Daphnia pulex: one gene and its partner. The protein of the gene in region 1 interacts with the protein of each later gene in a biochemical or structural test. Links are inferred from orthologs where the notes say so. Each region holds a gene or a part of one and is shown in the gene's direction. Other genes may lie near its edges. The genes, in order: synaptosomal-associated protein 25-like and complexin-like.

Evidence for each region.
Region 2: the proteins of synaptosomal-associated protein 25-like (region 1) and complexin-like are reported together in a solved structure, tested with the Homo sapiens proteins (2 studies listed by BioGRID, with this or other methods). The link is inferred for Daphnia pulex from reciprocal best matches to the Homo sapiens genes SNAP25 and CPLX1.

The regions. Positions count from the first base shown.
Region 1 is NC_060020.1:8,647,123-8,663,244, forward strand, and holds synaptosomal-associated protein 25-like, read left to right. Parts: upstream 1-5,461; 5' UTR 5,462-7,476; coding exon 7,477-7,629; intron 7,630-9,248; coding exon 9,249-9,290; intron 9,291-9,923; coding exon 9,924-9,972; intron 9,973-10,821; coding exon of another isoform or gene 10,822-10,870; intron 10,871-11,308; coding exon 11,309-11,426; intron 11,427-11,584; coding exon 11,585-11,713; intron 11,714-11,832; coding exon 11,833-11,977; intron 11,978-12,112; coding exon of another isoform or gene 12,113-12,175; exon of another isoform or gene 12,176-12,538; coding exon 12,539-12,607; 3' UTR 12,608-14,355; downstream 14,356-16,122.
Region 2 is NC_060023.1:9,961,916-9,977,902, reverse strand, and holds complexin-like, read left to right. Parts: upstream 1-7,192; 5' UTR 7,193-7,349; exon of another isoform or gene 7,350-7,890; 5' UTR 7,891-8,038; intron 8,039-9,922; exon of another isoform or gene 9,923-9,924; 5' UTR 9,925-10,036; coding exon 10,037-10,091; intron 10,092-10,492; coding exon 10,493-10,656; intron 10,657-13,382; coding exon 13,383-13,518; intron 13,519-13,636; coding exon 13,637-13,710; 3' UTR 13,711-15,274; downstream 15,275-15,987. Other genes in the region: cytochrome P450 4c3-like, read right to left, coding at 1-17, 97-291, 366-450, 542-621, 696-891; cytochrome P450 4c3-like, read right to left, coding at 1,830-2,089, 2,212-2,296, 2,386-2,483, 2,591-2,762. UniProt on the Homo sapiens protein: Positively regulates a late step in exocytosis of various cytoplasmic vesicles, such as synaptic vesicles and other secretory vesicles.

The DNA.
Region 1 (16,122 bases):
AATGAATCATGTAGTCTATTCATGGTGATACCAAATAGATTAAATGTTTATTCATGCATGTGCGCGGATAACAAGATTTTGCACAGTTCCATTATTCTGATGATCGAACTCATTCTTTTTGTGAGACGTGAGTTCGTAGAGCTTTTAATGAATTTCACGATTCAGGGAGACCCATTTTTAGGAAAACCCAAGATTATGTTTTAAATTCTAGTTTGTTACAAAATAATTTCTTTCAATTGATTGTACAATATAAAGGCGCTGAAAAAGTTAAATCGCTCCACGGCAGGAGATTTTGCCGGACATATTGGACCTGTTCCAGCGTCGCCAGGAAAGGGGATGGCAAGGACAGGCTTCCGTAAAGCAAGCGAGAGAATAGGAATGGGAATGAACGCTGGTCGTTGTAAGATGGATCACATCTGCGTTGAGGGAAGCGTCGATCAGTGAGATAAATCCTCTAGGGACTTTTCTACAGACTGCCGCGTCAGTGGTGACCGATCAAGCAACTAAACAAGGACCGAAATATCCCATCATATTAGAAAGAATTTTTTCACCAGATTACGTTTTCGTTTCTTTCAAAAAGAGTAAAAAAAAAAACCTTTCTAGAGTTAATTGGTTGCCAGGAGACCCCCCCCCCCCTCCAGATGAAATCCCAGCAGCCTATGGAAAGCCAAAGCGATATGATAGCTACGAAGCATGTTTCAGTTTATAAATGGCTGAATTGACAGTTCCTTAGCAGTATGTCTGCTACATTTTGGATCGAAAATGACGAAATTTTGTTTCCCATTTATCTGCATATTGTGGAGAGATGTGTCAGTCCAATGCTTAATATTCCAGGTGGGATGTTCATTGCTGATTAACTGAAATCTTGTTTTAGTCGTAAAGGGTTTATTTATGAAGTGTAAAATGTGGTGGGAATTCTAAAAAAAGCCTACGCTTATTATCTTGTTCCACCATAGTGTTTGCCGCGATTTTTTTTTTGTTCGATTTTTTATCTTTCGAAATAGGTGATGAGGGAAATGACAGGCTTTTGAAAACAAATTTAAAGTTGAAATCTCTTTCGTAATGGTAGGCTTAACTACTTAAGTATATCATTTCCGCGTAAAGGAAGTGTTTTGGGTTGTTTGCATCTGAAAATACTTGTTTATTTGTGTGTGTGTGTGTGTGTGGTTGGGGGGAGTTGTTTGTTCGACGGTTTACCATTGAGTGGTGACGCCAAGTCAAGTTTCTTTGCTTTAACTTCTTGCAGCCACTAAAACTCTAAACCCTATTTCCATCAATACTAAAACCATTTCTGAAGTTTGACCGATTGTTTGTCCATTCTATTGTCCGACGCGTTGACGCTCTTCACCGTCCCTCAAAGTATTTATATCTCGCTCAACACTGATTCCTAATGTTGACATTATCTCATTCGTACCATATTGACAAGTCAGACATCTGTTTATCAAGTTCTAACTCTTAAAAAAAAGACGAGTGCACTTTGCAATCTTTGAAGACTAATAATCAACTTCTTCAACACATCTCGTCGATGATGGTTAGTGTTTAACTTTCAGGCCATCCATTCTCGAGCTTCACGGATCGTCTTTGATTCTAGCATTATTTGTTTTTTAGTTTTCTAAAAGGATAACGGTGCTGAAAGATCGATGAGTAACGTTGTGTGATACTTTGGAGGTTATCGGCGTCACATGCACAAGTAAAACCCCTCACGCAATGTGCCTTGTACCTTTTTGTTTGACTAGGTCGTCTCTTGAATTTTTAATGACAGTTTACTTTTGTTTTCTCTGAGTAAGAGAAGTGGGTTGATCTGGATCATCCATTCGTTGGACCTACTGCAAACGAATAGCGTAAAGCAATAACAGAGAGAAGGAGAAGGGAGAAGGCTGGGCTTTTTTCTATTGATCCAGATTGTACACTACCCGGCTTTCGGGCGGCTGCTCCTCCTTCCAGCTGACGCCATTCTTTTTTTCTTTTGCAATCTTTTCTTGTTTTTTTTTTCTTTTTTTTGGTTCATGCATAACTCGATCGTCATGGGTTTCAGTACTTGCCTCCCACGGCCTAGCACATCTGCGTGATTAAAATTATCGTTTGCGTGCGAACCCAACTCTTCCGAAAAAAGAGACGACGGCCAGAAACGCAAATGAGATTTCAAAAATATAATAATATAGATTTTTTTTGTGTGTATAAGTTAACAAAACCCGATTACCTCGGAAGCCGCCTAGAGGTAGACGGGTGTGTCAGTCAAAAGACTTAAAACGACTTTGCCTGTCAATAGGCAAATTTTAAAGAAGAACCTATTCTATGAGATGATGACGTTGGTCCCGCCTCTGCCCCTTTTTTTTCTTCTTTTTCCCTTTGAAAATTGGCGTTGTTGTATGCGAGGCAGAGATTACACCACTAGTGACGCGTGTCGCTCACCGGATGAGAGACTACACATAGTGCCGATAGCGGTTCTTCGAAAAGTTTTTTTTTTCCCCCTATTGAACTTGTTTTACTCCGGGAAGCAATTACCAAGTACGTTTTGTTCCTCCAATTTACTTTTGAACAATTGTTGTAAGGAGAGAGTTGGCCAGCTTGCGAGCTGGAGCTGGAAGGTATCACGAGTTAAAATGCTGGATAATGACACTGTCTGTCTAGAGAGCAGTGGTTTGTTGTACGGATGGGCAGAACCCCTTCAAAAATTAACCAGCGAAAAATTCTCGTTTGCCGGGGTTCTTTGACTCTGCTGTGCTCCGTTTTACTTGTTCTTTTGATGTTAGATTGTCTCATTCTTCCGTCTCGATGGTGGATTTATTTCGATTGTCGTCGTCACGGTTCTTGATCAGATGGATCCGGTCCAGCAAAGCTTATCGGTGGTACGGGTGTCCCTGCTCGTCGTCGCCAGTCGTAACGTTTGGCTAGTCAGCCACTAGACTGCGTTGTTGTGCCGGGTCGGGACCGTAGAACCGCCGAAACTGAATCGAATGTTGTCTGACTGTGCGTGTGTTGGGCCACAAGACAACGACAGAGAGAGAGAGTGAGAGAGAGAGAGACCGCAGTGGGTGGAGACTGGGTTCGGGATAGATGCGGACGACCTTCATGTAGACGCCACCCGATGCCAAAGAAGGATGAACCAAACGGGATCACTGAAAATCAATAGTAGCAGCAGCCCCCATTGCCCACACCGACCCCCTCCTCCCTCTTCACTCTCCCGCGTGAACCAACCGTGGCTGTCCTCCCGTTCGCGCATCACCCGTTACTAAAGTGGAGATCGAGCCAACTCGCAACAAAAATCACTTAGTTGTTGGGATTTTGGGGTTTCACTTTTTCTTTCTTCTTTCCCTGTAGTGTGTGCCGACATTAGTGACAACTCTTGTCGCTAGATGGTGTGAGCCACCGAATGTCTTTTCTATCGACGCCGTGCACATTTGTAACACAAATACGTAGCAAAACATACTTGCGAAAGTAGGAAGTAACCTGTGCTTGCAGTATTGATCTATAACGGCGCCATGCTGCCGTACATGGATTTTTCAACCCGATGCTTATTGTTATCGCTAGGTGGCCTTTTGTAGCGCCACATTTTCTTGTTTTGATTTTTCTTTTCCGCTCCGTCCGTCTCTTATTGTTCCCAACGTCTCGGTCTGTCACCAATAGGAAGCGGCGAGTAATGGTGGGTCCATCTTAACATGTTGCTGACCCATAACATTTGACCATCCCGTAGCGATAAAGAAACCTGCCTGTCTACAAGTCCATTAGAATCTCTACTGTTGGATCTGTGTGGCTGAAATAGCCATAACCTGGCAATAACATAGATGTAAGAAATGCGGTAATTGTATTGAAGATACAAGGAAGACATAAGATCAAGTTCCCTTTTGACCTGATCAACTCTTGTAGCATTTGTCGTCGGCCACAAGCGAATGTCACCATGTCAGCTCACTGTTTCATCGTTGGTTATTTCCGACCCGATCGAACCGAGAGCCTGCGGACGCAGACTGGAGCTCGATGGATTAATCAAATCGCCCATTTTTTTGTCTGAGAAAGAAGAGCAGGATTGGGGGGGGGGGGGGATATGGTAGACCACTTGCTTTGATGCGACAGAGTTGAAGTGTGTCTCAGTGTCGCAGTGATTATGTTGAGAGCATCATAACTATAGTCGAATTCCCGTTTTACGTCATCTCTTATTATTCTACTATTTAACGTACGAATTTCTCGCTTCTCGTTACAGGTGACTAACTCAAAAAGGAAGCGAAGATGGCGGCCGCAGTGGAAAATGGTGGTGCTCCCAAGACGGAATTGCAGGAATTGCAGATGAAATCAAACCAAGTCACCGATGAGGTAAGCCTGTCAACTCCATTCTCTAGATGAGGGCAGACGATCGTTTCACTTTCAGCCAGCCAAGTTTTCGTACGTCTAGTTCTTAACGATTGCCGTTTGACATCGGATAGCACTCGTGTCTCCGACATCCGAGAGGCGAGTGTGTGCCTGATATGTCAGGTCTGTTGATGTCGACAAGTCAACGCCATGCCCAGTTGCTGCTGGAATAGGTTAACTCGCAAATATTGACGGAAAAGTACTGAATAAAGGCTGGCCGTAACGGTATATATATTGCCAATGTCAGCAAATCAAATCCATTTATTGGAGTGAGTCAAGCCAAGAATGGAGTCTAGTTTGATGGGCTGTATGTTTTGATGTCTGAAGGCAGGGCGAAAAATGTTGCGAAATGCCCTTTTTTTATTTTTTTTATTTTGGTATTCATAAAACTGGGCCAGCCAATGTGGAAATGTCGCTGCTGCTGCGTAAAGGTGGAACTAATTCGTTGTTGGTACTTGGGGATGTTTGAGAATCTAACAGACTGAGCGCACGAGACCGTAGTTCGAAATTCGATAACTGCGTCAAACCGGATGCGCGCGGGCGCTTTGTGTGCGGCGCTGCCCCAGCGTTTTTGATCATCAAAGTCTTGTGCCTGCCCGAGCGGGCCGTTTTCGCCTCCCAGTCGCTTACCGCTTCTACTTGGTCCTCACGTCATTGTTGTGCGCGTGAACGGGCTCAACTTGATGCAACCGCGCCGCTTTACTTGACGAACACCCAGCTCTGCTCAGCTCTGCTCAGCTCTGCTCAGCTCTGCGTTTTCCATTGCATCTCGACAGATCGACCGAGCCGTTGCGAGTTGCTGTTGGTCCGCTTCCGGGAGACGGGACCGCATTTCCGGCATCTTTCATTCAGCATCTTCACAATCGCGTCAATTAGTTTAGCCCGGACCTCATTCCCGCCCGCACTCGCCCAGCCGGCCGGAGAGGAAGAGCCTCGTCGAGAACAATTTGAAGGAAGAGAAAGTCACACGGAGCGGAACACTTTTGGCGTGTGTGCGAATTATTCGTCTGCAAAGGGCGACGGAAACGGACTAGCGGTGTCATCGGACAGGTGCGCCGTTACAGAGCAGCCTGTTTCCGCCGTCCCGATCGATCCGCTCATCCCGGGTTTTTCTTTTTTTTTTCTCCCCCACTCCCCACTGGCAGAAAGCACTCTGAGCTGACCAAAAGCGGTGCTGTTTCGTTTTTCTCACCCGAGTCTCCGTCTCGACCTCCCAGTTGTCTCATCTGTAAAGCCGAAATTTGTGTCGTGACACCTGCGTTTTTTCCTTGGAACCGCCGACGACCCGAGATTTCGATTGCCCGCCATCCAGCCGAGTAACGTCTGACCCTCTTTTTGTTTGTTTTCAACGCTGTCTGTGTCAACGTATCGATCGTGAAAAACAGTAAGCAAAACAGAAAGTGAAAGTGGCGAGAAAAGTTGCTCTCCCCCTCTCCTTGTAAACTCGCTCATTGACGGACTCGCTCGATTGTCACGTATTTTTTCGACGACCGTGACGTACGTGCTCTGTCACTTCTTCTTCTTCTTCTCCTCCTCTACACCCACAGTCAACAACGGCCCCAATGTCTTCTTCATTAGTCTCTTTCTGCTGCGTCTCAGTCTTCGATCAGGTGGCAACTTATTTTCGGCGACGCTGTTGAACGATCGCTGGTGGCTGTGCTCGACCAATCTCCACATCTCTCCATTTCTTCCCGTCTCCTTTTTTGGGGTGATTGTAACCGGTCCTTTTTTGCCGTCGGACCTCCTTCCCAAGGGCAGCAACCGGAGCTTCCGACAAATCCACCACCAGCACCTAGATCAATCGTGAAACTCCATCGTCCCGGTTGGCTTCTAATTCCAGCCGAGAGCCAATAGACGACGTAACGGCGTCGCACACCCTCATCCGAACATTTGAAATCGAATCTTCCAATTGCACATCATTTACTCTCATCATATCCTATTGCATTTCTTGAGTGGTTGTTTGTTTGCCGGAAGAGATCGTTGTCGTGCCTTTTTCAGTCTATTTGAACTGGTGAAAGCATTGTGGAAGTGGAGAAACGCCGAACTACCTGGAAGTCGGATAACCCTGGAGTTCGTCAAATCTGCCCACAGGGATTGCGCGCGTTGGCTGACGTTACTTCCAACTCTCCCCCCCCCCCTTTCTCCAGTGGTTTTGTTGATGTAATTAGCGTCGCCCAAGTGCCCGTTCCTTGGCCTTTCTTTCGTTTCTTTCTTCCAACATTCATCTGACGTGTGCGCTTCTTTTATCTCTCGATCATCGGAGAGAGAGAGAGAGAGAGAGTCCCGACCGCCGTCCTATCTGTGCGTGTCGCACTCGTCTGTCGATATTTATGATGGCTATCCTCCGCGCCGAATAAGAAACTACAAGTCAAACTGGACTGCACGAGTGCTCCGACATTTTCCCCAAGTTGATAGTTTGGTCGCGTGCCGGACGTCACCGTTTCACTACAACGGACGTTTCCTGCCCTTATTTCGATTCCCAGTACTTTTTTCTTTCTTTCTCTCTCTCTTTTTCATATCCGTTCGTTGCGCGGCTCGGCGTTTTCTTCTCCGTCGTCCGACAGGAAAAGGAAGATTTTCCGAAAGTAAGAGAAAGATAGCAAGCTCGTGAGGAGTGTCGAGAAGTGGCGGAGCCTTAAGTCTGAATTTCCCCAATCGGAATGCACAACTGACGACGATTTGTGCCAAATCGACGCCAAAGGCAAAGATCGGAAATCCCGTGTGACTACCAATTTCCCAGGCCTTTTTACAAATGGTCGTCTAGAGGTGCCTGTCGTCGCCGCCGCCCGTAGGTATGGATCGCGTTACCATGGGAAACGATGACTCCGCCGACTACGTCACTGGTATCGGTATGTTAGCTGACTGCCGTCATGCACCTTCCACCATGCAACTCGTTCACTGAAATAGATACAACCAACAACCAACTACTTGAACTCCAGGAGGTAACCCAACCGCCGACATTCTATCGTGGTGGGGAGAAACAAACAAGTAAGCCGTCGCCAAAGCTATTGGGAGGCAAAGAGACGAGATAATCGTATCGTCGTCGGAGAACTTGAGCGTGTGTGTGTGTGTGTGTGTGCTGCTGCTGCTGCTGTTTATTGCGTTGTGTTCACGTCCAACCATTGTGCAATCATGGGGATCGAAACGGCGCCAGGTAACAAGAGTAAAGGCTCTTCGACGGCGGCTGCTACTGGACCCAACTCGGGCAAGAACCCACCGGCCAACCCTCCAGTTCGCCAGTTTGCCAATCAACTCCAACAAGATATCGAAGATGTTACCGTAGAGGTGAATATATCATGTATACGACCCGCTCCTCACCCAAAAAAACGAATACAACAATAAATATCATAGTTTGATACAGAGTAAGAAATGGCAGGACATTCTTCGTGCGCAATAGCGAGATTCAAGTCGATGTGTCACATAGTCTCTACTTACACGTCGGTTGGTGTCATAAGGTGACAGACAATCCATCAGTCCGTGTTAGGCGTTTTTTATTCAAAAGGTCCGAGAAAGGCTTTCAATGCTTTCAGCGGATACTTGAGCACGGAACTGAAAGAGAGATGGATAAACGCCACCGAGGCAACTGGATAGGGGGGCAGTTACAGAGAGACATATTTAGCGTCGTGCTAATCATCAGCTGTGCCCATTCGCTGCAGAAAAGATGCCGAACAGATAGAGAAACATGCAGCTGTGGACGAGTTTGTGTGTCGAAAACCCGCCTCTTAGCGTCATTTGCCAGGTTGCTGCCCCTTTTCCATTTTTAGAACACCTTCTTCTTTCTTCTTCTTCTTCTTCTTCTTGGTCTTGTTGTGACTCGGCCGGACGGCCGGAATAACCTTGTGCCGATCATCAAAGGCGCCGGTGTAGCGACGATAACGGCGCGAGACGAAAGATGCGCATGGGCAAGCACGTCAGAATGTCGCCGTCGCTGAGGCTTGTTGGCTTCCCGCGGTCTGTTTCGTCATTGTCAGAAAGAAAAGAAGAAAAAAAAAAATAGTCTTGCCCGGCAACCCCTCAGACTTCAATGAACTGGCGTTGCCAGGATACTAAAAGCAATCCACTCTCTCTCTTTCTCTCTCTGGGAACACGTGAAATTCATTCTGCGGTTGCTTTAACACGTTTTTTTTCTCTCTCTCCCTTGTCGGGTCTTATTGTCTGTACCTAAAACGCGAAATGACGCCGAGCCGGTCTTCTCCTACCTCCCATCATCATCTTGTTTTCGCTGCACGTAAAGACTCCTAATCTGGTCTTGGGCTGTTGGCCTACTCTCGAGGCCGACGCCCTTCTCCTTTATTAATCTATATTCATGAATGTACCGTCGTTTCCTACACGGTACACAACCGACGACGCCCACGTTTCTCACCGACGTTCTTTCATATTTTCTTAATCGTCGCTTGAATTTTCGGGCGACTTTCATGCAGTCAACAGCCGAGCAGCAACCGTGGGGTCATTGTCCGATTCCTTCAGATCTCCATTTTCGTTTTTTTTTTTCTTTTTAAAACAGCATTATTTGGTTATTTCGAGCTATCCTTAGTCACGTCAGAATGAAGTATGTGCATATAAATATTCTGGTCTGGAAGCTGGTGGAATGATTATTCGATTCCTCAGCTTCTTCTCTTGAATTATTTCGAAATATCGCTCTGACCTTTTCCTGTTGACCCCAATTCGCCTGCCAGATCAAGTTTTCTAGCTCAAATGTTTCCCGGCAAAAATTCAATTACAGTGCACTCGAATAAATAAATGGCTTGATTCCTATTTAATCTGTGGAAAGTGAAACTATCGTCTGCCTTTTATATTTTCTTTATTTTTCATTTATTTTATTTTTTTCATTTTTAGTAGGTCACACAGTGTACTGTATACAAGATCAGTTTAATTAAATTTTCTTTTTCTTAATCTTTTTCAAGTCATTGGAGAGTACTCGCCGGATGATGCTGCTCTGCGAAGAGGTAAGACCGAAGTTATTGACTTAATATATTTGCGTCGCACACGAGTTTATATGAGACATGTGCGAATGGATGGGTGTGGTAAGTCTAGTGTTTTCTTCGCTAGAAGAAAATATAAAGTTTTCAACCCAAGATGAGTAATTCCTTCTTAGCTAAGCTAAAGTTCACAGGGTAAACCAAGCAGAGTGATGTGCGGGATTGTAATCGTCGTTTTTTTCGCACAGCGCTGCGCTCTTATTGATTTTCACAACTCGTATTGTGCCTGTGCGTTGTAGTGGTTTGGTATTCACGTAACGCAAACATCCTCCGCATCGAGCTAAAACATTGGACTTGGAACTATTCTCATAATTTACGAATAACAAAAGCTCAGTCGCCATTGAATACGCAAACTCTGGTTTCTAATTTTAATCCAATATACGCCCATCCGACTCGCTAGTTATAACTTTATAAGTCAATCAGTGTGCACTAATTTGCACAGCAACAGGCGACACTATGTCAGACACGTAGGAGGTCTTGGGCGATGTTGGGTTTTCTTATTGTCTAGAATCCGTGTGTTTTTTTTTTCTTTCTGAACTTTGGTGGCGATCTTCTATCAACGGTACGTGTCGCCATTGTTTTTTGTTGTTTTTTTTATAGAGCAAAGAGGCCGGCATTCGGACACTTGTGGCGTTGGATGACCAAGGAGGTACATTGATGTGCAACAAACACAATATTTATTGGTTTCAACAACATTCTTTATTGTCGTCTAAATGTCAATACTGCCTCCTTATCACTTTTCATATACCGATTTGGTCGTGATTTATTAGCCGTCGCTTTCAAACAACGCCAGTTCTTTTTTTTTTTTTTTTGAACTGTTGTTTAGCTGTACATTAATCGCTTGAAAGAGTCTCTTCGTGCATGAAAGAATTGATTCTGATTTGCTGATCTCTCTTATTTTTTTCGTATGGATGTAGAGGAAATCCTATTAAATTGTTAGACGCTAGCAGATGGGACTGTTAGTAATAGTTCCATTTTATCATCCGGGATGCTTCTATTTTGTTGGAATGAAGTTTAAAAGAAAATCTCCGAGACGAGGTGTCCAATCCAGAAAATTAATCAAAACAACTTCAGTACTTGATTATTCAAACAAAAGCCAGGATGTGGTGAAACAATCAACTTGAAATTATTTAAAGATTATCTTCGATATTTTTGTTTCTTTATCATTTTTAAAAAGGTTGTATTTTTGGATCATTTTTGGCTTAATTTAAAAAACGCAATGCCTGATTGGGTGCCAATTTTAAATTTCCCGCTCTTTCCTTCAACATCGCGTAGTTTATTTACACTATACTCACTAGAATAAGCAGCTGTCTTTTTAATTTATTTTTTTCTCCAAAATTGTTTAGTATATTTGTGTTGATATTATTTTCCTTTTTTTTCCATAGAGTTTCACTATCGTTTTCGTTGAGCTCGTTATTTGGGTTTTGCTTGTATTTTTCGGTTTCACTTTTCTAGTTTTTTGAGTTTTTTTTTATTTTCTTATTTTGTTTTACTGTAGAGCCAAGATGTTGGTGCCAAGACTCTTGAGAATTTGCACGGACAAGGCGGTAAGACTTGTTTTTATTTTCAGTTTCTCGTGTTGCATTTGAATTGCTTTGAGCAACTTGAAATCTCGGTGATCCTCAATGCTGGAAACTTGCTAATTGGTGATTTCATCTGTAATTTGCTTGCTGTAATTTGAACTCTCGGATCACTTATGGAGCTTGTCGTTTCTTGCCTATATCAGTCTTAACCGCTCCGAGAGATTCTCCACTTTGTTACCTAGCACCTCGTCTGATTCATAATTACAGCACAACTGCCAGTGCCATTCGACAATCTTTGCTCTCAATGATTTTTTGTTCATAGTCATCTTTATTCATTTTTATTTCCTTTTTCGTTCACGATCTTGCTTCATGTTTCTTGATATGAGGCCGGTCCCAATCGTTGATATAGACACATGTTATTGATTCGATGGTAATTCAAGATGTCTTAATAAATAAATACAGAGCAACTGGATCGCATTGAAGAGGGCATGGACCAAATCAATGCCGACATGAAAGAAGCCGAGAGTAATCTAGCGGGCATGGAGAAATGTTGCGGACTCTGCGTCCTACCCTGCAACAAGTGAGTACCTTGTTTGTTTGTTTTCTTTCCTCTCATTTTTCATTTTCAAGTGAAGCGAGCCGTTTGAGCAGGAACTGATTTCTCTAATAATCAGGACGAAAACTTGTTGAATTTAAAAATATCGATGATTGTTATTTATTTATTCCATCTTTTCTCAGATCGTCGCAATTCAAGGAAGACGAAGGAACGTGGAAAGGCAACGACGATGGCAAAATAGTCAACAACCAGCCAACCAGAGTTATGGATGACCGCAACGGAGTCGGTCCAGCAGGCGGTTACATTGCCAAGTAAGACGCGTCGACCCACACGCCTCAAAGTCCGCCACTCGAGTGGCTTCGACGGCGATTGCGAATAGAATTGTCGTCGTCTTGTTACATTGTGCGATTTCGTTTTCTCTCTTTAACAGGATCAGCAAGGACGCCCGAGAAGGTGAAATGGAAGAGAATATGACCCAAGTGAGCACGATGATCGGCAATTTGCGCAACATGGCCATCGACATGGGCTCAGAAATTGAGAACCAGAACAGGCAATTGGATCGAATCAACGCCAAGGTAATTAGGCTAATTGTGATGCGCCATGCACGTGCTGTCGTGTGGGACTCGTTCAGTGTCTACCGTGGTGGATGATCTTTTGATTATTGAATTATTGAAATGTTGGTGATTTGTGTGGAAAACGTTTTTGTACAGGGAAATTCAAACGTCACTCACGTCACGGAAGCAAGCCAGCTTGCTGACAAATTGCTGAAATAAGCTCCAATTGACGAGATGAATATGTGCAGTACGGACAATAAGCACATTTGACATTTTTATCCCTGCCTTTTTGTTGTTTTCCTCATTTCGTTGTCGGCTTTGCTGTTTGATTTTATGGTTGATTCATTTTTTCCTGGTGAGGGGAGGGAGGGTGTGGTTGGGTTTTTGCGTATTATTCGTCGCGCTTTTGAAACGCTCTCTGTCAGAATATCTGACTATTTAGACATGTCCTTAGCCATTTATTGCCTAATAATCGCGTTTCCGCCAGAAAAATGAAACCATTTTAGAGCTGCAGTTGTTAGAGCGGCAATAGACGTAATTACTATTGATTGTTAATATTCTCTTTCTTCTTCTCATTTACAGGGTGAATCTAACGAGAACAGGATAGGTGTCGCCAACCAGCGCGCTGGACAATTACTAAAGAAGGCCTAAATGAAATTGAATGGATTGGCAAAATAAACTTTAAAAAAAAAAAAACCAAACAAAAAAATGGAAGAAACAAAAAAACAAAACCAAACAGAAAACCGTCTTTATCTGTCTGTCGGTGCAGGAAGGAAAAATGTGGATTAAGACTGAAGGATATTCGACTGTGTTTGTTTCACTTTTTCAAAAAATGTCACAATTTTTTTCTTTCTTTTATTCGTGCATGTCGTTTCGGCGACAAAACTTAAGTTGCGTGCTTGACAACTTCTTTACTACTCCCGTTCTCTAGCTCTCGATTTCTTCTCGAATTTTTTGTCCACATTGCTGCAATAACGCTTCCGACCACGAATTTTTCAGAAATCAAAAATCATCACAATAATTCACCCACCCACCCCCACCCCTTTCCCTTTCCTTCCCCTCTAAAAAAGAAAAGCAACTCTTCACTTGTGAACCCCGTCGTAGCGGTTTCGTATTTCGTTTTTTCTCCATATGGTGTCTGCCATTTAAGTTATCTCATTTCTCTTTTTTTTTTTTAACATGTACAGTTCATGTTCCTGTGCTTTTGTATTTTCTTGTGGCTGTACAACAGATGCTTCTTTTTTGCTGTGGTTAATTTTTTTTTTTTCTCTCCCCCCTTTCTCGTTATTACTTTGGGTTTTTCTTTCTTATTCTTCTCGTACTCGTTCGCTTCTCCTCCAACCGATTCAATGGATCCAAAAGTCCGTTTGACTTGATACATTTGACTTTGGATTTCTTTGGTTCACAAGTGCGTCCATCGCTTTATACCTTCCTATTTTTTCAACATTTTCAACAATGGAATGCGACTGTAGGGAACTCGATTTTTCTTGCATTCACTTCCTTTTTGATTTATTCTCTCCTTTTGATTTTATACCGGAATTGCATTTACTTTGCGCCATCCCCTGAAACTCGCTCTCTGGTTGGACGCACAATCCTTCGAAATGCATAGAAAGAAGAAGAAGAAAAATAACAAGTCTGGTCCATCACAATTTGCTGCCGTGTCCATGATTGGCAGGGGAAAAGTGGGTCCGATAGTCGTAATAACTTTGCAAAAAAAAAAAAAAAAGTCAGTGAACGCAAAATTGCAAAATCCTATGTGTGCAAAGCGAGAGAGGGGGCGGGGTCTGAGTTGGCGTTTGAGGAGTTTCGTTTTATTTTGTTCGTTGTGATAATTGAAAAAAAGAAGTAATAAGTTACACGTGAATGACTTTACGTTGAGTCGTCTGCATTGCGTTCGTTATTCATTACATCGAAATTTGGGAATCGTTATGTGGTAAATAAAAAAAAATAAGAACCGAATAAAAATTATTAAAAAAAAAACCAAAACAAAACAAAGAAGAACAATGGGAAGTTTCATCCAGTTGGATGTGGTCTTGCTATCGCTGAGATTTCTGGTCGGCTGTTTTCATCTCTTCATACATATATAGTCTCTTTTTCCTATAGTCTGTTTTTTTGAATTGCGTGTCTCATTTATATCCATTTATACTTGTGTCTAGATGTTGACTATAGTTCATCTAGAATATCTTTTAGCCACTACAAAACCGACAAAATCATATTATCGCTCTATTCTTACTCCCCTCGCCATACCCTCTCTACCATTTGGCAACCATTCTATCCACACTTCAATATCGTAATGTTTGTTCTTTCTCTTGAGATATTACTTCAAGATATGAGTGACGGTAATGGTATTCCTCCACGCTGTTTGTATTTTACTGGTTACAATACACATTTAGACCTTATATACCACGGATTGATCGCTGCAAGCAAAGAAATGTCGACCGTGCCTACCCCTTTCATTTATTCCCATGAATGTTTAGATATTATTTCGTCACCGTATCAATTACGCGTCAGCTGCCTTCACTGGCGTCTGTTGAGACCATCATCAGCTGCCGCTTTTGATTCTCTGTTTGACGACTATCGTCCCGCTGGAAATATTTCCTACTAGTCACACAGCGTGTTTGTGCGCTGCTTATGATCGCTCACACATCACGTTCCTGATGTTAGTCTCTCCGGCAATAACGATGAACGAATCATATGTCGAAGCGTACAAGGAAACTGTGATCCAACAGCATTAGGCGTTATCGTTCATTAATTTCCGAATCATTTCTATAGTGGACAAGCTTTCTTTCTGAGTTATTGGGAAACTAAATATAGCCCACCAGAGTGCGCAGTAGAACACTGCCGATGTGGCGGATATTATATAGTTGCCACCTGACAAAGGCCGAGCCGAGCGAGCAGCTAGCACTCTGCTAGCAGCCTCCGATATCGTGGAGAGAGCCCGTTTCTTTATTATTACGTCGTAAGCGCTATGGCTGCTTGGCTGATGGCAAAACCGCTAAATAGCCAAACCCCTACCGACCTTGACGTGTATAATATTCAAATGTGTTAGGAGGATCTCAAATGACCCTTAAATGTTCGTTTTGACTTGCTTTTCGCCTTTTCGGAAGATTCAGATGCCGACGCTGTGAGCCACTGTTGCTTTAGGTGTCTCGTTATTCTGAAGAATGGCGTTGATGTATATTCCGTAGGTTTTTCTTTTTCTTTTCCGACCGCAGGAAACTGGCTGCTGCTGGACTGGGCTGGGCTGCTGCTGCGGAACTCGGCCAGGACGGAACTCGGGGCCAACTTCCAGCCCCAGCGCAGCTAGCTCAGCCAGCGCAGCCAGCAACGAGCGGCCTGGAATCTTCAGCATCTGGATCTCGGAATCTCAACTATATACCGTCAAACAGCTATATAGCCAGCCATGCCATGCTGGGGGGAAAGTCAACGAGGGGGAGGCGGAAGAATGTTAGTCACTAGTCATTGGAAGTAAATTTCTTACCATACCACAGCAGCGGCGGCACGGCGAAGTTGGTGACAGAACCAATTGTCGGTATTTTCTAACCGTTCCCGCGCATGTTGAATCGCTCAGTGTCGCCATTCATTCGGTAATGTGTCATTTCCATTCCCTCATGAATATAGTGGACTACCGGCTACCGGCTACCCTTTTCGACGGCCGCCGACATCAACTTTTCCTCCCGACGCCTCTATGCGCTCGTCTCCAAGAGTCCAAGGGAAAACTTGAAACTTGGGTGTACATTTGAATGTTTCATCAAGGTGCCCCACCTTGAATAGGGCTCTAGGCTAGCATTATACAACGCAACGCTCAACATCGCTCTAATATTCAATGTATTTCAAACTGTGAAAAACTGTGTAGTACAACAGAAGAAAAAGAATAAGGAAAAAACATTTTCAAATGCCGCGGCCTGCAATAGGTGAAATGATGTCGTCTGAAATTTTCCCGTCGCCGCTTTCCGAATCGTGTCCGAGCAATAATTTCCACGCATAAGTTTGAGATTTGGCCGTCGGAGAGCTGACTAATACTCGACCACTCGTGCTGCACCTGTGTTTCCTTCGGTGTGGGGGGGCTGGTACTATATGGACACCAACAACCCTCTCTCCCGACCCCACCGGCTTCATCATCACCCAAACTGTAGCGAACAACTTGAAATTGCGTCAGCATGCCA
Region 2 (15,987 bases), on another chromosome or scaffold:
CCGTCCCATGGAAGTTTCTTTTAAAGTCAAAATAAAATTGATAGAAAATTAATCTCATTGCGCTTATACTATAATCTAAAGGGTTTCACTCATTACCAGAGAGAATATCTAAAGCCAGTTTAGACATGATTGGAAACAAGTCCATTTCTTGGTCTTGGACGGTTTCGACCATTTCTTCCAATTTGGTAGCGCAGTCGAGGCTCAAGTCGTTGAAAGTGCCAATGAACCCGTTGAGAATTTGAAAACTGAACGCGGGATTCAGCATGCGACGACGTTTTCGCCACGCGTCATCTGTGAGTGGTGGTGAACCCGAATTAAATAATCAAATAAAGCTAAATGAAAGCTAACTGAAATCAAATGAATACCTGTAAAGAGGACAAGGCTTTCACCGTGAAAGAGATATTCATATTCGTGTGGCCTACTAATCAGTTTAGGGTTCGATAAAATGGGCTACATTCGGGGGGAAACAAATGACTGTCAGTATAACGGAAATAGCTGCTAAATAATAACTGTGCTGAATAAACAAATAACCGCTTATTACTTCGAATAGTTCAGAGTGAGCCATGAAAACGGCCGGATAGTAACTGATCCAAATCCGGTAAATAGGCTCGTACTTCACATCTGAAAAAAAATCTCAATGTGAATTCATTCATCGTTTTGGAATTTATTAATGTTCACAACGACCGTTTTTATACCATCGAGAGAAAAATTCGCAAGGTGGAGGATGTTGCCCAGCAAAGGAAGTGGTTTCGGTCCGGGCAGTTCGTCAATGAGACGGACAAAGCGGGAACGACTCCACACCCAATAATAACCACCCAGCAATCCGGCCAGGGCCGTCGTCATGGCCAGTGACGATGAACTCCATCCAGCAGACCACGAAATGTCCCACATGTTATTCAAACAAAAGTTGAAGACCAACTGATAGCTACGCCAGCAATGTCGTCCATAAACCCAAAACTGAATCAACAACGAACAAAGTCTAAAGAGAAAACGAATCTAGATAGTAACTGTAAAGGAGAAAGAAATTCTTGTCTTGATTTCACAGTTTTCACAATAAGGGTTGGTTGGCCGATTTTGGCGTTTCATGGCATATAGAACTAGTGGCAAATGCTGTCGTTTCACTGACCTTTTTGGGGGTTTTTGCACATAAATAGGAATAAATAAATAGGTTATAAGAATCAGCAAGACGAACCGGTTAGAAAAACTGTTGTCCTAACAAATAATTTGACCAAACAATATAAGGTTTATTTGCGTTGCCAAAGTTGAAATGTTACAATGAACCAGCGTTGCCATTTTATAGGAATTGTGTTTTCCTTCTATAACTCAAAAGTGGCGAAAAATCTAAATATACTAAATATGCAAATATAATGCCATTATTTAAGAAAGGCCCAATCTTTTAGAAACAATGAGATTGAATTTGCCGCCCTTGGGTTTCAGCATGGCATGAATGGCCGGAGTTTGCAGTGGACCCGATGGATCAGAAAGAGAAAATTTCAACCTGCGCAATATGTTGGCCAGAGCAACTTTCATTTTCATCATGGCGTATTTCGGCGCTGTTCAATTCATAAAAGAAAAAGAAATTCGAATTGAACGAAATTCAAATCTCCCGCCAGCAGCAAGTTGTTTGAAACTCACCGATGCAATTACGGACGCCAGCGCTAAATGGAATGAAGACATACGGATGTCGATCGACGCTGTTCTCCGGTAGGAATCGTTCCGGTTTGAAAGAATCCGGATCGGGGAAAAATTCAGGATTGCGATGGGTGCCGTAAATGTTTACCAAAACTGTTAAATCCTTTGGCAAGGTATAGTCCCCTATATGATAAATTTTAGAAAAGATTTCGAATATGTACATATATGCGCAAGTGAAATCGTTGTGAAATTGATAGATTCAACACCAGCAGAGACATAATCGGATGGACGTCAATTTCTTGGCAGCCTGATGATGATGATGCCGTCCCGAGAATTATTAGTTCGATTTTCGCAACGCAGTCGAGGCTCAAGTCGTTGAAAATATCCACGAACCCGTTGAGATTTTGCAAGTGGAACGCCGGGTTGAGCATGCGACGGCGCTTTTTCCACGGCTTGCCTGCGCGCGGATATAATTTCAATAACGGGAATATTAAGCCAATAATATAACACATTATGGAGAGGTGAGATAATAAAGCATAATACAGTAAAAACGGCTTTCGCCGTTAAATCTCATTATACCCGTTAAGATGGGAAGGCTGTTTTCGGAAAAAGCAAAGAGGTATTCCCGTGGCCTCGTCACATATTTATTGCTGGATAAAATTGGCTAATAATTGAATCACAGGAAGAGCCAATCGGTGAGATGATAATACTTGAAACGTATCGAATTAACATTTAATGTGTGATGTTATATACTTTGCATAGCTCAGGATGAGCGATGAAAACCACTGGAAAGAAACGGCTGATCCACATCTTGTAAATTGGATGACGGTGGTTCATGCCCAGCAACATTTCTATACAGCATAAGGGAAACAATTGGAAACCGACACTGATGGCGTCATTTCGAATTGGACAGCGGAAATAACGCGGTACCATCAGCGCAGCAAGTTGTATTACTTACCATCGGGAGAGAATTTCAATAGGTGGAGGAGGTTGCCCAGCAAAGGAAGTGGATTCGGTCCGGGTAGAGCGTCAATGAGACGGACAAAGCGGGAACGACTCCACACCCAATAATATCCGCCTATCAATCCGGCTAGGGCCGTCATGGCTATAGGGATGTTGGACTCATCCATTTAGACCACGAAACGTCCAACATGTTATTCAAACGCTAGTCACAGATCAAACTAAACACAAAATGATGTGTCGGGAAGTGGAACTTGGTTTAGACACACGTAGCGCAAAACCTGCAAAACCTGATGAAGAGAAAATTGGCCGGAGAACTAGTTTGATTGTAACAGAAAAATACTTTGTTTTGCGCTTTCTAAAGTCCTATATCTAACAGTTGATTTCTTTCAAAGGTTCCAACAATTAGTTGACACATTATTGCTATCAAAAGTAATGTTATATTTATGTGATTAGAAAATGGAAGCCATCATCATCGTAATCAGTTGGCTATTCATCATCAGGAGTTGCTTGTTAACATTGCATAGTGCATCCTGCTGCTGTTGGTGACCTTGATTGTTAATAAGAAAATCCTTTGCTGGAATCCCGTTAATATAAAAGTCCAATGTGCTGCTGCCCAGCAGCACCAAATTACAAATTGATGCTGTTGCTGGCTATATCACAGCGCGCAGCAGCAGCACATACATCAAAGAAATAGCATATAATATAATATAGTTAGTTGATAAGCCCTATAATCCTCGATCAGTACATAGCTAATAAATGATCATAAATGTATGCTACGACAAAACAGAACTTTGAAATTATATACAAGTTCAATTAAGTCACACAAATTGTCCATGATTAGGCTCGCTTGCTCATTGTATATGTATACTATGAACTTAATATCTTTCATTCCCTCTTGGCTTCCAAGAGGGTACTGGGGGATGTTATTAGGGCGGGTTTTCAGACCATTTGCGGGTTTTGTGCAAATTTTTATTTGGACCTTGTCCGTCCAGGGTGGGCTTAATCAAATTGGTTAATTTGTTGAACAATTATATGTATACCAATAAAACAAATGGTATTAGATTTCAACTAAAACTTATTCCTTCAACTTATTCCTGTACCGCTTTTGAGTGGTTTGGATTCATTTATTTCAATAATTTATTTTTTAATAATTTATTTATCTTAATTAATTAATTTTGAGGGGGGGGGGGGGTTTGATTTTTTTTCATTTCTAATTTCTATCGATAACTTATTTCGTAAGCATGCTGATTAGAACAATTTTCGACAAGTGTCGTCTGCTCTCGCTGGGTTAAAATTTCGAAGAAGTCAGCAAAAAAGTTCAAAATTTTATGTTGTTATAGATTTATTTGTTTTGATGATAACCGTCATACTCTTTAGCAGGTAAATAAAACTAAAAATACAAATTCTAGAATGATTGTGGGAGCTACAGAAGAGACCTGTTCTAAATTTGTGAAATGTTACTTCCTAACGACTAGCATTTACCATGTGATTGCCCTTACGATGCATTGCAGTTTGTTTGTACTAAAAAACCTTTTTATTTTTTTCAGATTCGAGGCCAGAGTCAGCCGTCATAACCACTCAATATGCAAGTTTGGCTTGTGCTGGGATTGAGCAGCATGTCACCAGAAGTCTCATCGCTTGGGTAATGATTTTCATTACTTTTATTGACCTGTGACCTACTATAGATATTATAATGCTGCATTACCTGCATAAATGCAGTGTAAACCTTTCATTCTCCCATTTATCAACAATTAGGGTTTACCCAGTGTCTCATTTTCAACTTTTCCTTGTCGTTTTTCTGTCAATATTTTGTCGTAATCCATTTTCTATTTTTACACAGATAAACAGCATCCCTCTTGATTGGAGAAACTACCGATGTCGGCCGAGTTATGGATCTCCCTTCTTCACCTTTCTTTAAATGTCCTCGTGTACGCCCATGTGAATATGGATGTATTCACGAGGACACCCTTTTTACCCTATCCCGTCTGCTGGTGTAATTCAACTCTTCAGCGGCAGCAACTGTGGATGCCTGGCTGTATTTCCCAGGCATAAAGGTAGGACAAAATTGATCTCCATTCTTCCTTTTGGACAATTTTGGGTGGCGTTGATTATAAATCGTTACGTAGTCACGGAGTATTTCTGAGACGGAGTTTATTTCTGATGAGTTAGGCGGTTGACTGCAACTGTTTTCTCTCCCCGTTTTTTGTGTTTTTCCCAGTGAGGGTTTCTACTAAAATTCTCATTTGTCGAACGACTTCAGAACAGGCATGTTTTTGCACCTCATCACTTTTTCTTCAACTTTCACATTCGAAAATGTTTGAACTTGTTATCTATACGGTCTATGCTATGGGTCATTTATTAAACATTTAATCCAATTGCTGCTGCCATCGTCCGCTGTTAGAAAAAGGCGAATCCATGGCAATCATAATTCGATGTCCAGAACTATATTATTATTATACAGCGTACTATAATTCAACGCGAGCTTTTGTAATGCGAATTATCAGGTTCTTTATGCTGTGATGTTCTAGGATGAAAGAGACGGTAAATAGGACACAGGACGGTGAGTGCTTTAATATAGCGCCACAGGACTGCCTGCTGTGTTGCATGATGATCAGATGATGATTTCAGCTGCCTATATTATATAGACGATAGACTATTGTATTGTAATGATGGTCGGTGGGACATACATAGCGCAGAAGTTTGTTTTCTCTTTCAGAAATAAATGTTAAGCTGCTGATGGTCATGTTATAGGCAACTGTCGGATGCATTTGTAGGCATTTGTGTTAAAGGCTTATATATTTTTGATCCAATTCCATCATGTTTATTAGACTTATATTTCAGCTGCTGGGGGTATACAGTATGTTATACTACTGCGGTTCTTTTATATATGCGTTTGCCTTTATACATGTATGTATAGTACATTTGTGCTGGGTTTGATGGAAAAGGAAATGATGCTGCTCTTGCTGTCGCCCTCGCTTTTGATTTGCAACGTGACATTTTGACACGATTGAAATGGGGGTGGATGGCCACCGGCGTCTTCTATCATCGCGGGGGCTGTTGTCACATCTATATAATATTTCGTGTAAATGTGATGAAATAGCACTCAAGAATAACATTTTTTTTTATTGCCATTTTTACGTCTTATAAGGTCAAGATAAAACGATCAAAGGGATTTTTTTTTATGTAGGCCTATTATTAGATAACAGATTGGATATTATAAAAGAAATAGAAAAATGTCTTGTATACATTTTTCAACATTTGATTCTTTTTTTTTTATCGAGATTGCATTTCTATCGATCACCGAAACAAATTGCACAGCACAAGAAATTTGGAAATATTCAAAATAAATTGATGCGCCCTTTATATGTACCAGCAGGACTGATCGATGAAGCATATAGAGAAAAAGAAGGCAGAAAAAGAATATTATTATATAAAAATTTAAGCCTATATATAATAACGCCCCTCCATTTGAATTCGGTCGCATCAGTTTTATATTTAGACATTACATGTAAAAGATGTTTTTCGTTTTTCTTTTCTTTCGTGTAGAAATAAGACACAGCAGCAGCTGGAATAATTTTCAAATGGCACCAGATGTCACTCGTTTTTACACACAACACCGCTGTCTGTGTGCGTTATATATTCAAATGTAGGATAGTATATCCACACGTATATCCTTTTCTGTTTGGACCCCAAAAAAAAAGAGGAGAACGTGACACCAATCAGCTGATATAATAGACGTAGCACACAACATACGATCCCCAAAATAAAATATAATTGACATCATCTCAAATGTCTCGAATATTATCATAGGCCTATCTAAAAGTTAAAAAAACAAAATGATGTGAATCGAACTCATCTTTATATCGAATCAAATGAATGTCATTTGTATATTGTAGGCCTATAATAATATAAAAGAAAATATGCTACATAGGGGTGTCGAAGCGAATAATAATATCGTGAGTAGGACCTATATGCGGTCTCGGCTCTCCCAGCAGCATTTGATTACATTCAAAAAGAGTAGGAAAATAATAATAACATAAGGGTATATCAAATAAATGTACAACATGCTGTATATCTATAGAAATGGTGTTGAAATCTATATAGGAAACACGTTGGCGGTGGCGCTGTTTCCTGCACAGCAGCAGCAGCAGCAGCATGTGATGTGCATATGAGGACAGCACAGCAAGGGCAGATCAATATTTGAGAGTCCGGGGATCCCTTTATATATGCTGCTGCTGCTGTATATACGTCACAGCGCACAGGAAATATATTCGTGAGCGGCGGCGCCGGCGCTCGTGAAAATATCAGGCGCGCATCCTCCCATAACAACCCCCCATCCAAAACCACCCACCCATCATAGCGTTAGAGAGTCAAACTGCTGTGCTGGCCCCCCCAAGTTTCTTTTTTTTATTTTTCACGAAAAAATAAAATAAAAAAAATGTTGGTGGGTGGTGGCGAAGGATTTTTCTATATCAAACCCCCCACCACCCACTGGGTGATTTGAGAGAGAGATATAGGACTTGATAGACACACACAGGGGGCAGCACAGAGAAATTGCCATAGCCAAAAGTCTGGTCCTCGTTGTGGGTTATCTCCAGTGCAGTTTCGGATCTCGAGCCATCGACTTGTATATCCGCCCCGTTTTTTCTTATTCTATTAGACAAATAAATCGAATTCCCCCCCCCCCGTCATCAGTTTCTCAATAGTACACACACATCTCTCTCTCTCTTTTTCTCTTTCTCTCTGCAATTTCGGTAGTAGTTTTCTATCGTTCTTAATTCAAACATCACATTTTGTTGAATTCTATTCGTTATTAGACACAACATTCCAGATATCTCTGCTGCTGGCTGAAGGAATTTGCCAATCGATTGTTTATAGATCCAGCATATATATCTAGTGTGTGCTGTGTGCTGTCATAGTTTTCTCAAACCAAATTTTTAAGAGTCAATTTTAAGACAATTTTTCCTACATGTCGATTCACTGCCAATATTCCAGTTTCTTATTGTTGGGGGACGATTAATAAGTTTCAATGTTGGATGGGGCAAAAAGATTTGATTTGTATTATATAGCACATGTGCTATATAGATACTATTGCTGCTGCTGCTGCTGTGTATAATGTGCTGTGTGTAGTGCTGATGGTCGGTTGAGAGCTCAGATTCTCTCCTACTTTACTTAGAATATTCGTCACACGTCATTTTATATATCCGCGCGTTTCCTGGTCTTTTTGTTTTTCTCGATTGTAACTTTCTCTTTTCTCTCTCGTTTTTTTCTGTCCTCTTTTTTTGATTGATTTAGTTTTTTCCATATTCCTTTCTTCTTCTTTTCCTTCCTATATCTTCTTCCTCCTCCCGCCCCTCATCCTTCCTTCAGTGCGTGCGACCAATCCAAACATTATTGGCTCCTGTGGAATTCCTTTTGATTCGAATCAACCCAACTAAAAAAGGTAAGACAATCAACGCTAAGAAACTCATCATTTTGATGTTATTTATACGTGTCTAGATGTAGAAACCGGAAGTGGAAATAGTGTTGAAAGTGCGCCGGTAGATGTCGCAAGTGTGAACCAATCGGCATTTTAAAAAAAGAACCGGAAATGTCATAATAATAAGAATCGTAATAATACTCGAAAAGATGCTGTTTAGCTGTTTATTTTTGTATGTAAATTTGCCGGTAGACAGAATGCGGCAAGTTTGGCATTTTGTCTTTATGCTGCTATGTGCTGATGACCTAGAGTTATTTTTGGGTTCTTTTGCTGATGTGAAAGAGAAATAAGACAGTGCACTTTAACGGCGTCTCTCTCTCACCACTAATTCAATATACGAAAGTCTATACAGTTCATATTGAGCTCGGTTCTATAATGCAAGTGCAACGTGCACTATACAGCGGAGAGCGTGTCGGAACTTGACCTGCGCCGGCCTAGACTATATATAGAATGAACTTATATATGTATAGTCTAACTTATAGGTACGTCTATATTAGTGTATAATACACAATGCCCCCCAGCACGGTGCTGCATGGTTCTCTTTGGCTGGAGATGCGTGATGTCTGCACTGATGGCATCTAATCCAATTAGTTTAGACATCAATAGATATTATTTAGAAAGAAGCATGTGATGGAGCACGGCGACATTTCCAGCAGACTCTAATATAATACAAATAAGAATATCATCAATTATATTAATGTTGTTAGACCAGCAGTCTGATGGTCATGAAAGCTGCTGGACAGCAGCGGCCTGATGATCAATCTATTGACAATGTAATAATAGCTGGACAATTTTCCCATCATATATATAGGGCCTACAAAGGATCGATATTGCTTCTCAACCGACAAAGTGTTGGCCCCTATATAACATTTGAAATGTAGTTAGTCTAAACCTTAAATGTACTATATATCACGATATATATGGCCGGAGGGAGCGACTCTCTCGGCTGCTGCTGAGCGCGTGCACACGAACTCTGGATCTCTCACGTATCTTATATATTCCCACCAGCAGCTACAGCAGCTATATAGCAGTTCTACATATATACGAGACGATCAATGTTATACATAGCACGCGGTATACTATGTACAAAGTCTCCCCCGTGTCCTTGATCATCTATATAACATGGAGAAAAGGAGAATCACGCAATGTTCGTTTTTTCTCAACGATTCCCGTTCAATTGCTACACTGATGCTGCTGTATTATATGTGTATAGCCTATAATACTATATCCTATAGACTTGAGTGTGTAATATCCTAACAGTTGATCACGCGATATGTGGCTCCTTAATATCCTTATCAAAGTTAGAAGTTAAAAGGTAGAAAATCTAGAAACTTTAAAGGAATAGATATAAGCCGGATGTGCTATATATAATATGCTTGATATATATATATACAGCTCTGGTATACGGCGGTATTGATTCTTTCGGTGCTGCTGCTGGGCTGCCTCAATCCTCAGCAGGAGCCGGAACACAAGCAGGAAATGTCTGTGCTGGGCTGCCTACCCCCTTTTTCCTTTTCTTTTTTTGACAGCTTCTTTATATAATACGAGCTGTATTATAAGAGATGAGAGACACGGCGCTAATCAAATCATAAGGAATGCTGCTGCATTTCTAGATATTATTTATTATATAAGGCCAATATTAAATATCTAAATATTCGATTTTCTTTTTTTAGCACGTTTTTGTGTATCCCAGTAGACGTGTGTAATATTATATGCATCCACTTTAGAGTTATTTAGAGACTGAGATTGAGTTATGCGCGTGTAAATAAAATGGCTGCTGCTATGTCTGATTGAATTGATCTATTGTTTATGCAATCATTTTCTCTTATTCTTATTTTGTGTACACACAGGAGTCTTTGATTGGATATATAAATACAAGGAGGATCGACGTCGTTGGTTGTGTGCTGTGCTGCTGCCTGAATCTCCCACTGCTCAGTTGATTCAATATAAATACCAATCATCATGGCGGCTTTCGTTGCGAAACAAATGCTGGGCAGCAAAATGAACGCCGTTAAAGGTATTTATAAATATATTAATCATTATAGTTATTACTATTTTCCTATATAAACTGTGTAGGCCTATTTATCTATTACGCATATTATAGTCGTGATTTATTTCTATTCACAAGAAACGTTCAACATGGAAAACAACATTTAACAACATAAAACGTGATAGCCTACAGGCAGGAAATGCCTGCAGCCATATCAAAATGGCTCTACGTTTTATTTTAAACTTTGTTCTCAATATAACACATCACGATGTTATACATCTCCTTAACCTATAAATAGGTCTACATATATTTCTTATATACTATGATGTATAAAGCCTATATATCCGATGATGTATATAACTTATTTATCAAAGTTGATCGGTCATCTATATGCAATTTCATGCATTTACTACTATTATGATGATAAGGTCTGGGAGGCAACGACAGCGAGGACGGCGACACCAAAGACAAGGACGACGAGGCCGAGCGTGAGCGATTGGAGGCCATCAAGGAAGCCGAGGATCGCCGCAAGGAGAAGCACCGCAAAATGGAAGTGGAACGTGAGAACATGAGACAGGATATCCGCGACAAGGTAAATATATCTCTCAACAATATCACACTATATTTTATCACATCAAAAGGGACGCAGTTAGAGGGCCTATATTTATTATTATGTAATATGTACAACAGCGCAGTGCAGCAGAGCCAAACGCGTGCAAACATTTATTTAAATCTATACACAAAATAAATAGTATCGCCCTGATGTCTCTCTGATGTACAGAAAGAAAAGGAAAAGAAAAAGTTATATTAGAATATTTATATATATCTAATATAAAATAGTAAATAAATATTTATATAGCTAGATTGTGTGTAGACTGACGAGAATAGAGCGTGACGTGAACATGTGCATCGTTTTTAGATTTTGATCTGAGACACAAGTTTTGTTCGGTGCTGTGGCGTGACACAGAAACAAAAAAGTTTCTTGCTGATGTGTGTGTCCTATATCGATCATTTCAGATATATATAGGATAATATTATGTATTAAATGCGGCCGGGATTAAATCCAAAAATTCCATTCCGATCAATTTACATAGCCTACAGACAGCACATGTATGAAAAGGATCTATAAATCCCCAAAGCACCAGTATATATATAATATGTCATGGTTTTGTGTCCATTGTCCAGCACAGTTCAAATCAAAACTTTTGAGACATAATAGGCAAAGACCCATTAGTTCATTTGGCATCAGCAAACGATACAATAGAGAAATAGATATAGTACACATATACTTCAAGAGCTATTGTTTCTTTTCGCGGCCACCATTATACATGTATATCAAAAGCCTTGCTTGCTGCTGCTGCACATTGCGAGAAGCCACCAGGACAAATCTCCAAAGTCACTAACGTGAAAAAAAAAGGAAAGTTTCAAATGTCTAAGCGACAACAGCAGCAGCAGAGCCCACAGCCAAATATATAAAAGTCTGCGATAATATAAAAGTCGTCATCCCCCCACCCCTATAGCAGCAAAGAAAAGCTTTGATCTCGTGGGGTGCAAATCACTTTTTATACACAGAAAAGTCGTCGTCGTCGTCGTCGACTCTTCTTCTTCGTCTGGGAATAATAATAAGAAAAAAAGAAATCCCTTTGAAAATCCTTGTGATGTTGTGTGGGGGGGATCAAGGGGAGATGACAGCAGCAGCAGCGCGTCCTATAAAGAATAGAAACTTTTCGACATCTCCACACACACACATAGTCTAGGAATTTCTTGCTTATGTATGCTATAGTCGGCTATAGCTGGCTGGGGGTCTTATATATGACTATCAAATTTTTAATTCCATCAGACGAGCTGCTGCTGCTCTTTTGTGTGTCACTCTGTGAGACTGGTGGCAGAGTTCCAAGATGATTTCAACTTAAATCCCCCCACCCTTCTTTTTCTGCTGGCAGAAGAAGAAGAAGAAGCTGGACAGCAGCTATAAAGCCAAAAAAGGGAATATAAACAAGGAGAGCTAGATAGCCACAGAAAGAAAAAGAAAATGGCCAGCAAAAGAGATATATATCTCTGCTGCTTTAGCTGGAAACGAGACGCGGAAGAAGAGCGTTCCGGTCCGTTGCAGCTGAGATATATAGCACACACGAGCGAAGGGGAGAGAGAGAGAACAGCACATATATACTATATATCTTGGGATAGATAAAACTGGGCAGCAGCAGCAGAGCTATATAATATCGATCGCCGCTTAGATATATATATATACAGTAGGAGCAGATAAATGTATATAATACAGTTAAATAAATACATTTTGGTTCGTTAAACACAATGTGTATATAGTATATATATATATAAGGATTTGGACAGCAAAGAAAACAAAAGGCTCGAAATGTTCCAATAAAAAAGAACACACACAGCAGCAGCAGCCTCCATAAAGTGCTTCTATTATATCCTGCTGTGTGCTGTGCATTGCCCTAGATATAGCCTACTTAAACTTAACCAAAATATCATATAATCCATTTTGGGGCTATGTAGAGGGTGCTAGAGAAGGAGATGACAAGCAAAAGTTAAGAAAGAATCCATATTTTTCCCACACACACACACAACTTTCTTCTGTGTATAAATGCCGTGTAAACCAGCCAGAAAGCCGGGCACCGCCCATATATATTGCTGCTGCCCAGCAGCGAGACGAGGGGGATCGATAATTCCTCGGTCGTCGCTTGTGTTCAATCGATTTATCACTGTGCAATAGCCCTCCCAGCTCACATAATACAATGGGGGAGTTCCCACAGCATATAAGCAGCAGCAGCAGGCTAAATCGTCTTCAGTTCAATTGGGATGTCCTTGTATATAAACTTTTGTTTCAGCACAGCCGCGGCCAGATATAAGGAAAAAATAAAAAGACTTTTATTTTTCTTATTGGTTGATGATTGTATAGACATATAAAATATAACGCTGGCTGTTGCTGCTGCTGCTGCTGGATCGATGAGTAGTATGTAGTCGGCCATGACTGTGATGGTGCTGCTGGGGGATCAATGCGTGTCTCGACGTGAATTGTGTTTTATTTTTTCCCTTCTTTGTTTTATTGTTTACAACTATTAGCCGTCTGGAACGTCTTTTAGAGAGTTGTTTAGATGTTTGACCGCAGGCGATTGATTATTGCCGATGGCGTTTTACCCGCAGGCCAGCAGCAGCACTCTATTCGCTCGGTTATAATTGGCTATACTGCTGGACCTATATAATAATATAGCGCCAGTCTTTTAAAATGCCTTATATATTATATCGAAATGTGATTCGATTATATTCTATTATTATTGTTACATTGTTGGGCAGTACAATATCAAGAAAAAGGAAGAAGCTCCTGAAGCCGAGACTCAAAAGGAGCCGGACAATCCGCTGATGCGCAAGAAGAAGACGCCCGAGGAATTGGCCAAAGAAGCCGAAGAAGCCGACCAGGACGAATTGACAAGTATAATATTTAATAAATAATACATTGAACTCTTTTTTTATTTATTATAAATGAATTTAATTTTAATTTTTAATTATAAAATAATTTATCGATTGATGAAAATCTAAATTTTTCGTAGAATTGAAAAACACGTTGGAGACCCAGGTGAACGAGTGGAAGTCGCAGATCGAGAGCAAGTGCGTCATTCAGTGAGGAATAAAAAGCCCCACCGACTCTACACACACCACATGTAACTTCCTCCTCTTATGATATAAAACATTCAAATGATGGGAAATTGATGCCCCCCAATCAGCCCCAAAGAAATAACAAAAAATAATTTCCATCCCACCCAAAAAAACAAACAAAATATCGAACTTCATCTATAGCAGAGACGAGGGATAACTCTTATATCCAAAAATATTTTAATCGACACACACAAGATACTACAGCAGATTATATTCCAAAGGTGTGTCATTTTTTTACAATTGAATTTGGGTGGGTAGGCGATTCCTCCAGCGAAGCAACGACGAGCTAAACTATGCAAAAACATTAAAAATAAAAAGGGCAAACAAAAATAAAACCAAAACAATTTTGGGGCGTCAAACAAAAAATTAAAAAAATTTTTTTTTTTAATTCAATATACCAACCAAAAAAATTTCTTTTTATACACACGTGAAAAAAAAAATTCCCAAAAATTTCCCATTCCCCCAAAAAGTATTCCATCTCGAGTGAGAAAAAAAACAATTAAAACCCACAAAAAAAATAATTTTTTTTAATTAAAAGAAAAATGAATTAGTTAAGTTTTGAATTCCGTTCCATGTAATTTTTTATATTATATATATCCTCGTTGTTGTTGTTGGTTGTTGTTGGTTGTATATGTGCTCTGCTGCTGCTGCTCTGGATGCCCGCTGTGAGAGTAAACATATATGATAATAATATTTCAAAAAAAGAAATAAGATGAAAAAAAAAACAAAAAAAATATTCCACACACTGTTGTTTTGTTCGCGATATATTACACTCTCGTTTGTAGATTCTTCTCTGTTGGCCCCCGCCCCCCTCCCCCCATCATATTATTATTATTATTATCAAAAAAGGAGAAAGAAAGAAGAGAGAGAGAGTTTATTATATAGGCCCAAGTATTATATTATTATGTATACAGCAATTATCATTTAATAGGCTCTCTATCATTTGATATATATTATAACCCCATCTCAACAACAAACAAACAACCCCCCTCTCCCTCACAAACAAACCAATTCGAAAATATATAACAACAAAAAAACTAGTCATGTGTGTGCTGTGTAATTGTGTGTGTCTGTGTGTGTTTTACACCGCGCCTGCTGTTATTATATATATTTAAAACAAACAAAAAAAAACAAAAAAATTAATCATTCCATTGTAGAGATCGTTTTCTTTTGAATTCATGTATATATTTCGCGCGCTATTTATATGATGATGTAACGTGCGCATTTGTCGCGCACGTGTTCCATCAATATTTGCCCGAGTTTTATATATATATTTCGAAAAGAAGATGAGAAGAAAAGATGGGATGACAAAATTTTTTCTGAAAAATCCAACGATCCGACGTAGCCTTTATTGTATAGTGTCATCGCATTTATCGTCATTATTATTATTATTATCTTTCCATTCTCCTCTCTCTCTCTCTCTTATCTTTATAATCTTGACATTATTATTATTCTTTTCATTGTTGTCCCCATTCTCTCTCTCTAACTCTCTCTCTCTGTCTTGGGTTTCAATATAATTTCAACAAATCAAACCATGTCGCTTCTTATTAATGATTCAATTATTATTACATAAATTAAGGAGGATAAATATCGTTGATTCCTTTTTAAATATAATTTAAAATTTATAAAATGAGCTGCTGTAGAAGAGATACAGGGCGGCTGCTGGAACTATTCACGCGGGAGTTGTTACATTTAAATGAAAAAGGAATAAAAAAGAAAAAGTTCTGCCGCTGATGATCACTGCAGCAAGCGCGTCCCATACGAAACTTTTTCTTTTTTCGCGGCTAATTGACAGAGTGCCGATGAGATGCGTGAGGTGGGCAGCCGGCACGTTATAGTTCCATTAACAACTAGCTCATCCATATCAATTAAAAAGAAAGTCTCGTATATATATATCGAGGATATATATTATGTAAGAAAGTTCACGACGTGTAGCCTGTATATATAATAAATATAAATCTTAATTTCTAATTGAATTTCGCGCTCTGCTGTGTAGGCCTATCCCTTTTTTTATTCTGATCGATCATGAATATATAGCCCACACTGCTGATCGCCAGCAGAATAGATCACACATTTCCCATATTAATAATATCTATACAAGTAGACGATTATAGCCCTCCCCCCATCACATCAATTGTTTAATTGGAAGATTTTCTTGGTGGATTTCCGCGAAATTTCACGGTCGGTTGGCAATGGATATATATAGGCCGCAAACAAATCACCGACAATATCGATTTTTATTATA